Linked DNA regions of Oryzias latipes. The protein of the gene in region 1 purifies or fractionates together with the protein of each later gene. This does not show direct contact. Links are inferred from orthologs where the notes say so. Each region holds a gene or a part of one and is shown on either strand. Other genes may lie near its edges. The genes, in order: ppih and sart3.

Region 1 (3,816 bases):
AGTCTGTTGTGGAAGACTTTTACTGGCCTGTACAGAGTCCTGACCTGAACCCGATAGAACAACATTAGTGTGTGACCTCATCAATGCACTTTTGGAAGAATGGTCAAACACACTCCTTACTTAACCTTGTGGACAGCTTTCCCAGAAGAGTTGAAACTGTAATAGTTGCAAAAGGTGGACCTTTTCATATTCAGTGCAAAAACAATATTTGGCAGGAGGGAAAAAAGGCAGTGAACTAAGCATGCTTTCAGATGTGTAAATAATAATTGTTTATTTCCATAAATTTAAAAAATGTTAAATCAGTGAGCAATAGAAAAGTCCAAATCAAATTGGTGTTGGTACTTTTTCCCTCCAAATCAGCATCAAATCTTCAAGGTGCGCTTAACACAGAGTCGGGGATTTTGTAGGATTGTAGAAAACAGCTGTGTAGTAGAAGGCTTAAAACTGTGGGAAGAACAACCAAATTCTGATTCAAGTTTAAAGTAATAACATTTCTTGTCAGGTTTATCTAACCAAATTCTATCTAAATCACCAAGTCTAAACCAAAAAAGGAGGATTGTTTTAAGTCACCCAGACGGCCCGTGTTTGACTTGATCGTAAAAGAAAATGGGGACCAGTTTAGTGTCTGAGATCAGTCCAGGAGATAGAAACCTGCCAGCACTGGAGGCTCTCTTTTAGTTGGGACTCAGCAGTTAAAATGGATAAGAGAGGATAAGATGGGATGCACTTCAAGAATCACAAAGAAAAGCTTAGTTTCTTTCCACTGCCGACATCAAGGCAACTGTGATGAGACAAAAAAAATAGAAAAATACCACAACTAATTAGAAAGACTTGCACCGTACACAGAAACAAAGTGCTTTGTCTTTATAGCTTTGAAAGCTAACTTTTGTGACTCAAAGGCTAAGACGGATCAACAGTTGTGTGCGTAGATCTTCAGTGTACGTTTCTGTCTAATGTCGTGCCTATAATTTTACAATTTATTTCTCAAATAGAATTTTTCTTGACTGGATTGTAACAAAAAATGTTTCAAATATCAGGTCTGACTATCTTTAGTTTTAAGTAAGTTTGCAGGTCACAGCGAATGTTTTTATATTTCTATTGACCCCCCCCCCCCCCCCCCCCTCAACCTTTGTCCCATGGCAGAGTCATCAAGGACTTCATGATACAAGGAGGAGACTTTGTCAATGTAAGTACGCTAACGTCTCGACATCTCTCTTAGGCTGGACAAAAGTAAAAGTTAGATCATGTTAATCATTTGTGTGTTTGCTGGCGTTTGTGTGTTTGCTGGCGTTCGAGTGTTTAATCTCTTTGAGGTTTGGACGTCATTCAACTGTTGAAGCTTTTTCTTCTGTCATTAGCCTGTTTTTTAATAGATCTTGATTTTTCAATGCAGACACACCCTGTCTAACTCTTGCAGGTATACAACACTTCTGAAATAAACCCAATTTAAAATACTCATAAAACTTACAGATGACTTTTACAGGTGAACTAGTACCATTAAATACAGGCTGATGTTGTAGTTTATAAATGCAAAATAAAAGACAGGTTTTTTTATGTCTTGTATTACAATAAATCATAAACTCATGCAGGAGAATGAAAACACAACACAAAGGTTAAGCATCATATGTGCAAGAAATAGAAATTCAAAACCAGATCTAGATGCAGAACTAACCAAAAATGTGAACTGAAACATCTCAGTTTGAGTAGCTTCTCTTTTCCTCATCATTAAGCTATGTTCAGGACATAACCAATTAAATGTTGCTCTGAAATCTAATGATGGCAGGAAAGGAAAGCTTTCTCCCTCTTGTGGTTGAAAGCTGAATTACATCTCAAGAGCTCTGCTGAGAATAGTTGTTCTGCAGGGGGATGGAACCGGCGTCTGCAGTATCTACAGAGGACCTTTTGCAGATGAAAACTTCAAGCACAAGCACTCTGCTCCTGGTCTTCTTTCTATGGTAGGTTTGCAAAGGAATTCACATTTACAGAGTGAGACATCTTCATCAGGCAAAGAGGTTGCCCTGTGAATATTTTGGATGTCTTGTTATTATACATGACATCAGATTCGACTGGATTGAAACATTTTTTGTTTTGTTTTTATTTTTACTATTCACTTCTCTCACAGGCTAACAGTGGTCCTGGGACAAATGGTTGCCAGTTCTTCCTAACCTGCACGAAATGTGACTGGTTAGATGGGAAACATGTTGTTTTTGGTAAATAAGTCGTTATTAAGATAAGAGCGCTTTTTGTTTTCTTCTTCTGTGTGTGATTAAAATTCTTAAATTTGTTTCTGTTTCAGGAAAAGTGGTGGATGGTTTGCTGATCATGAGAAAAATTGAGGTAAAGATGAACCTTTATTGACTATGTTTAAAATGTTTAACAACCAAAAGGGAACAAAGTTGGGCAGCTGGGCTTTGTTTCCAGCAAAGTGTATAGAAAAAAAATTGAAGGGTTCCTGCTAAAAGATCTTTGGTTACCCCGTAAGGAGGTGGTGGGATACTGTTGTTGGGTAGAATTTCCAGCTAATAACCCTTAACATCTTAAAACCGTTGTGATGGTCATAAACTAAAACTTAATTAAAAGTGGGGGCCAAGTAAAGCAAGAAATTTATGTCAATATAGCCCAAAAACCCCAGAACATAATTATTAGGGGGGGGGGAATCAGATTTAAAAGTTTGTACAGGTCTAATCTGAATTTAAATCCAATTGAAATGATATGGTTAATCCTTAAGAGAGCTGTATGTTTGCAAATCTCCTCATAAACATAAAAGATGTGATAATGTGTTATAATAATGTACACGTAAGGGAAAAAAGCTGTTGTTTTGAAGTTATATTTATCTTATACTAAAACCTAATGTATGTTTTTTTTTTTAAATCAAGCATTTTAAAACAGAGAAAGCAGGAAATTTTCCTGGAGTCAGAAATAAGTAACAGTTAATAATTCTTTAAAACCTTAAGACAAATAAAAGAAATTAGAAATTTGGACTTTAATTTCGTAACTACTGTTTGATCCTTTTAGAACTTATTTCTTAAATAGAATTTTTCTTGACTTGATTGTAACAAAAAATGGTTAAAATCTCAGAGGCAGGTCTGACTATCTTTATTTTAAAGTAAGTTTGCAGGTCACAGGGGATGTTTTAGTATTTCTATTGATTTTTTTTCCCCCCTGGTACCAAAACTTATGATCTTTAACCGTGTTTTGAGTATAAAACCTGAAAGGTTTGGGAAAATGGGCTGCAAATTCAATCTGTTATTAATCTGGTTATTCTGAAATGTTCTTCTTTCTTCAAACAGAATGTTCCCACAGGACCCAACAACAAGCCAAAACTCCCAATCCTCATCGCTCAATGTGGAGAAATGTAATTTGTTTGAAGAAGTTCTGGTAAACGTCATCTTAAACTCCATGATTTAGTTCTTGTAGCATCCAAAGTGTAAACATTTTCTAAATTTTCTTCTCGGTCCTTAGACAATAATTGTTGGCTCCCACACTGTTATCATGAGGAACAAATAAAATTGTTTTTTTTACTAAAAATGTTGCATTTTCCCCTCCATATTTTTACATGTTGTTGGTCATTCCACAAAAGTTAGATTACATTGCTTTAAGTGTGCATTTAAAATATGTAAATTTATGCAAAAGAAACATTTTTTAGTATTTTTTAACAAGCCATATTTTCTAATAGTTTTGATTCCAATTTTTTTATTGGAAAAAAATTTGCTTTTGTGTTTTCCATGTTTCTTGTTCCTAAACTCAAATAACAATCAAATCAAAAAACGTCTATTGTTTCTAGAACATAGTTACTGCAGAGGAGCAGTAGTTAAA
Region 2 (4,555 bases), on another chromosome or scaffold:
TAAAACAAAAATCACAGCTGCAAAATAGCATCATGTGGCGCATGAGTCCTCCAAAAAGGGTGTGATGCTCTCGATATTTCTGTGAAGGATTTTTTTCTTCAGATCAAGGATATCTCTTTCACCAGGATGAACGTGGAAAAGAATTAACTGCTGGCTTTGGCGTGTTCCTCTTTCTTGTCCTGTTTGATTTTGTAGTCTGAGAGCGCTGCTTTTATGGCATCTTCTGCAAGCACTGAAAAGGAAAAAGTGAAAGGACACGGCACAAATTTAATGCAATAACAGCAGGAATTCCGATTTTGATGATTGTTTCTCTATTTATTTTGTAACACTAAGAGTAAATAACGAATAACACTCATATAAAAGATCTATTTACAATGTAACATGCAGTTTTGCTGAAATGGGGTTAAATATGAAATTAATTTAGTGGATTTGGAGAACTCAGGAAGTTGTACTTTTTTCTCCTCCTTTGTGTTGTCCAAAAACAAGTGTCCACACAAAAAAATAATTTTAATACAAATAAATCCTAAAACAGGCAATCAGTTGTGTCACACTTTGTGTAATGTGATTTCAATGCAGCAATTGTGTGTATTCTACCATTAAATGTATCATCTACAAGGCAGGCAGCTCGAATAGGAAAATCAAACTTACTGGAACAATGAAGCTTGACTGGAGGGAGGCACAGTTCTTTGGCAATGTCTGAATTTTTAATCTTCATAGCTTCATCCAGCTACAGGATTTTAAAAAGTATGTTATTATGATCCTTAGATAAAACAAACAAACTTTTCGGAGCCTTTTTTCGTAACTCACCGACTTCCCCTTCACCCACTCTGTTGCTAGGGAGCTGGAGGCTATAGCCGACCCACAGCCGAATGTTTTAAACTTTGCATCCACTATTTTTCCATTTTCATCAACTTGAATCTAGGATCAATATTAAAGTAAATTAATAATGTATAAAAATCTGAAATATAACGTGTTTGGCCAAATTCAAGCTTACCTGGAGTTTCATTACGTCACCACAGGCTGGTGCACCTACCAAACCTGTCCCCACACTTTTGGAGTTTTTGTCCAAAGATCCCACGTTTCTCGGGTTTTCATAATGGTCAACCACCTTCGAAAAAAATTAAAAATATATATAATACGGGGTAGGTTACAGAGACACAAATAGCATGTCGCATGCATTAGCTTGTTCAGTTCAGCCACACCAACTACCGTTTTCGCAAAACTGGCAACTTTGTTTAAAATAAAAGCCGTGTATTTGTGCATTCAATGTTTTACCTTTTTGTGGTATGAGCAAAGTGACTTTAACTCCGGTCTAAATAGCCTGCTGCAAAACAAGGAAGGCAAGGACGCACAGTTTCGTACACTGATCATCGCCATGTTCACATTGCCGATTGTGAACGATGAATGCCGAGTGAACACGAGAGGTGCCGAACGCTGTTTGCTGATAAACATGGTGGACTTCGTGTTAACATGTCGAAAAAGCTCCATCTAGCGGTTGAAGTGGTAATTGCCAAACTTGCTTCTTTTTTTATGTGGCTCAGTGTTTTATTGAACCAGTCACCGTCAGTGTCACTGGCATGGAGACACACTTTTGTCCCGCTCATATTTTTGTAGTTATCCCCGTTCCAATTGCTCCCAATGACCGCAACTGTAAATTGTTTCTTAAGTTAGTTTGTCCACTCACGCACTCCGTAATCCTAATATTTTGAGGCACGAGCATAGCGTGAACGCGCACGTCTTTCACCGTTGGGACGGGGCGGGTTTTCAATAAGAATTGGCTGCTCAGGCTGCTGTTGCCAGGCAGACAGTATTTCCAACATGGCAGCGCCAGCTAACGCAGAACAAACGCAGTTGCAAGATATGGAGGAGGACGGAGCAAAGGTGGAAGAGAGGGAGATGGATTCAGACGAAGAGGAGGACGAAGAGGGCATGCGTGTCGAAAACTCAGACGAAGAAGAGGACGATTCTTCGGAAGACGAAAAAGAAAATGAAGCCGAAATCCAGCGGTTGGAAGAACAGGTATTGACATCATCAAGCAGTCATGCTTTAGCCGAGGTGCTAATATCAATGAATGAATCGCAAAGCCTATACCAAGAAGCAGTTATAAAACGACTCACTCATCAGCATAGTTAACTCTTCTTGACAAATAAATAAATATCATTTTTGTTAGCGAATCACACATGAAACGTTTACGATGTTTATATGGCAATCCTGCTCATTCCTGCTAACTGGTTAAGCTAGCAGTTATCGCGCCTTTTTATCCTTTCGGGATATTGTCATCATTACTCTTCTTGACTTTTAAAGAACAAACTGAGGGGTAGCCTGCACTGTATTCTGTACATTTGTCCTGTTTAGTATATAGTGAAAATAATGTTTATATTGTGCTAAGGAAAGGGTTAAATGATTCCTTTATCTGTACCCACTTAAGATTGCTTACTTAGACTGCACAGTTTGTAGTGTTTACTTTGTCTTTAGCTGTGTCCAAGACGGTCTTTGGGTTTATAACCTTTGACCTTTTGCTTATAATAAGGAGAACTTGGCTCATGTGTTTTTTTTTCTTTTAATACACAATAAAGAGGAATTAATTGGTAAACATTTGACAGCAAAGTTTTGACCGCTTGCTATTGGAGTCTTGCTTTATTTTTTTCTCTTTACAGTACTATGCAATAATAAGGTTACATAGCTTATAGAAGCTGCCTTATATTTTGATAATGTATTGCTACCAAATAATATTTTTTTCTGTGCTCATCCTCAGCTGTCTATCAACGCCTTCGACTACAACTGCCACGTGGATCTCATCAAACTGCTGAAACAAGAGGGAGAACTTATCCGTCTGCGAAAAGCAAGACAGAAGATGAGCGAACTTTTCCCTCTTACTGAAGGTTAGGTTATGTCTAACGCAGTTCCAGCACAGACAGAATACTAGCACTGCATTGTTTGTGACAGATATGTAAACGCCTCCTTTTTTGTTTCAAATTCTGCAGAAATCTGGCTGGACTGGCTCAAAGATGAGATTCGTCTGACAGAAGAAGAGTCAAACAGAGAAAAAGTCTATGAGTTGTTTGAAAGAGCCATCAAAGACTACATCTGTCAGTGCACCATGTTATTGTCATTTCCTTTAATCCAATGTTCAGTTATTAGATTGCCTTAATGTCTTTTGTTTTTTTTAACACAGGTCCAGAAATTTGGCTTGAATATGCCCAGTACTCAATTGGGGGTATGGGCTCACCAGGTGGGATAGACAAGGTGAGATCCATCTTTGAGAGGGCAGTGACAGCTGTGGGGCTTCACATGACAAAAGGACAGTCAGTGTGGGAGGCATACAGAGAGTTTGAGAACGCCATTCTGTCCACATTGCAGGTTTGTGTTTACTTTTTTTTTTGTCTCTTCAGACTCAAAATCTGGGTTTAAATTTCAAAGATGCTTTACTTAAAGATAAAAAAGTCTGCATCTTTAAACAAACAACTATAGTGTTTGACAGATTGGGCCAAATTTCATCTTTTTTTGTTTTGTAATCTTCTGTCAGCCTCCCCCTGGCAAAGTTCCCAGGAATGAGGAACAGGAGCTGATAAAAACCCAGCTTGAAAGAATTCACACACTGTTTCGCCGTCAGCTGGCCATCCCCTTAATGGGTAAGCAGCCAGATAAAATTCAAAATCTGAATCAGTGTTGCTATTTAAGTGTACCTTTTTTAGATGTCACCAGATTAAAATAGTTCTAATCTGTAAACCTTTGGACTTGTGTGCTTTTGTAGACATGGAAGCTACTTATGCAGAGTATGAAGAGTGGTCTGAGCATGGAGTGCCTGAGGCCGTCGCGCATCAGTACAAAAAAGCGTTGCAGCAGATGGAGAAGTGCAAACCCCTTGAAGAGGCTCTGGTAGCTGACCTGCACACATTTGGTTTTGAATCTGTCTTGAGCGACTTTTTTCTAGTTGTTAACATCTTCTTGCATCCGTCTGCTGCAGCTGGTGGCCGAACCTCCTAAACTGGCTGAATATCAGGCCTACATTGACTTTGAATTGAAGGTGGGGGACCCAGCACGGATCCAGATTACCTTTGAAAGAGCTCTGGCAGAGAACTGCTTGGTTCCAGACATGTGGTCTAAATGCACCAAGTATCTTGTGAGTATTGATTATTGTTCAGTCTATAAAGAATGAAATTTTTGCTATGTATTTGTTTTAGTTCAGCTGCCTGTTTCTGTTTATTTAGCATTTTAGTAAATTGGCCAATTAAGAAAGAAAAATGAAAACATAATTAAAAAAAAAGTGTTGCTTAGATTTTTGTCTTTTATTTTTGATCTTTTAGGATCGCCAGCTGAAGGTTAAAGACTTGGTTCTGTCCACTCATGAGCGGGCTGTTAGGAACTGCCCCTGGACCATGAGTCTGTGGAAGAGCTACCTGCTGGCTTTAGAGAGGCATGGAGCAGACCATCACACTGTGTCAGGTACCAGTTTGATTACCTGTGACATTTACCACATGTGTGATGACTAACTTTTAATTCCTTATTAAAATGGTTTTAAACAGTGGAGGAGAAAAAAGTTGTTAAAGAAAAT

What was found.
Region 2: the proteins of ppih (region 1) and sart3 purify together in Homo sapiens (affinity purification with mass spectrometry; 3 studies listed by BioGRID and IntAct, with this or other methods). This does not show direct contact. The link is inferred for Oryzias latipes from reciprocal best matches to the Homo sapiens genes PPIH and SART3.

Annotation. Positions count from the first base shown.
Region 1 is NC_019865.2:7,790,811-7,794,626, forward strand, and holds the end of ppih (peptidyl-prolyl cis-trans isomerase H), read left to right. Parts: intron 1-1,143; coding exon 1,144-1,186; intron 1,187-1,862; coding exon 1,863-1,955; intron 1,956-2,122; coding exon 2,123-2,210; intron 2,211-2,296; coding exon 2,297-2,337; intron 2,338-3,290; coding exon 3,291-3,359; 3' UTR 3,360-3,528; downstream 3,529-3,816. UniProt on the Homo sapiens protein: PPIase that catalyzes the cis-trans isomerization of proline imidic peptide bonds in oligopeptides and may therefore assist protein folding. Participates in pre-mRNA splicing.
Region 2 is NC_019867.2:12,885,758-12,890,312, reverse strand, and holds the start of sart3 (squamous cell carcinoma antigen recognized by T-cells 3), read left to right. Parts: upstream 1-1,579; 5' UTR 1,580-1,818; coding exon 1,819-2,019; intron 2,020-2,755; coding exon 2,756-2,882; intron 2,883-2,984; coding exon 2,985-3,089; intron 3,090-3,175; coding exon 3,176-3,360; intron 3,361-3,526; coding exon 3,527-3,632; intron 3,633-3,754; coding exon 3,755-3,879; intron 3,880-3,967; coding exon 3,968-4,123; intron 4,124-4,307; coding exon 4,308-4,446; intron 4,447-4,555. Other genes in the region: iscu (iron-sulfur cluster assembly enzyme ISCU, mitochondrial), read right to left, coding at 144-232, 649-727, 808-918, 995-1,108, 1,276-1,377. UniProt on the Homo sapiens protein: U6 snRNP-binding protein that functions as a recycling factor of the splicing machinery. Promotes the initial reassembly of U4 and U6 snRNPs following their ejection from the spliceosome during its maturation.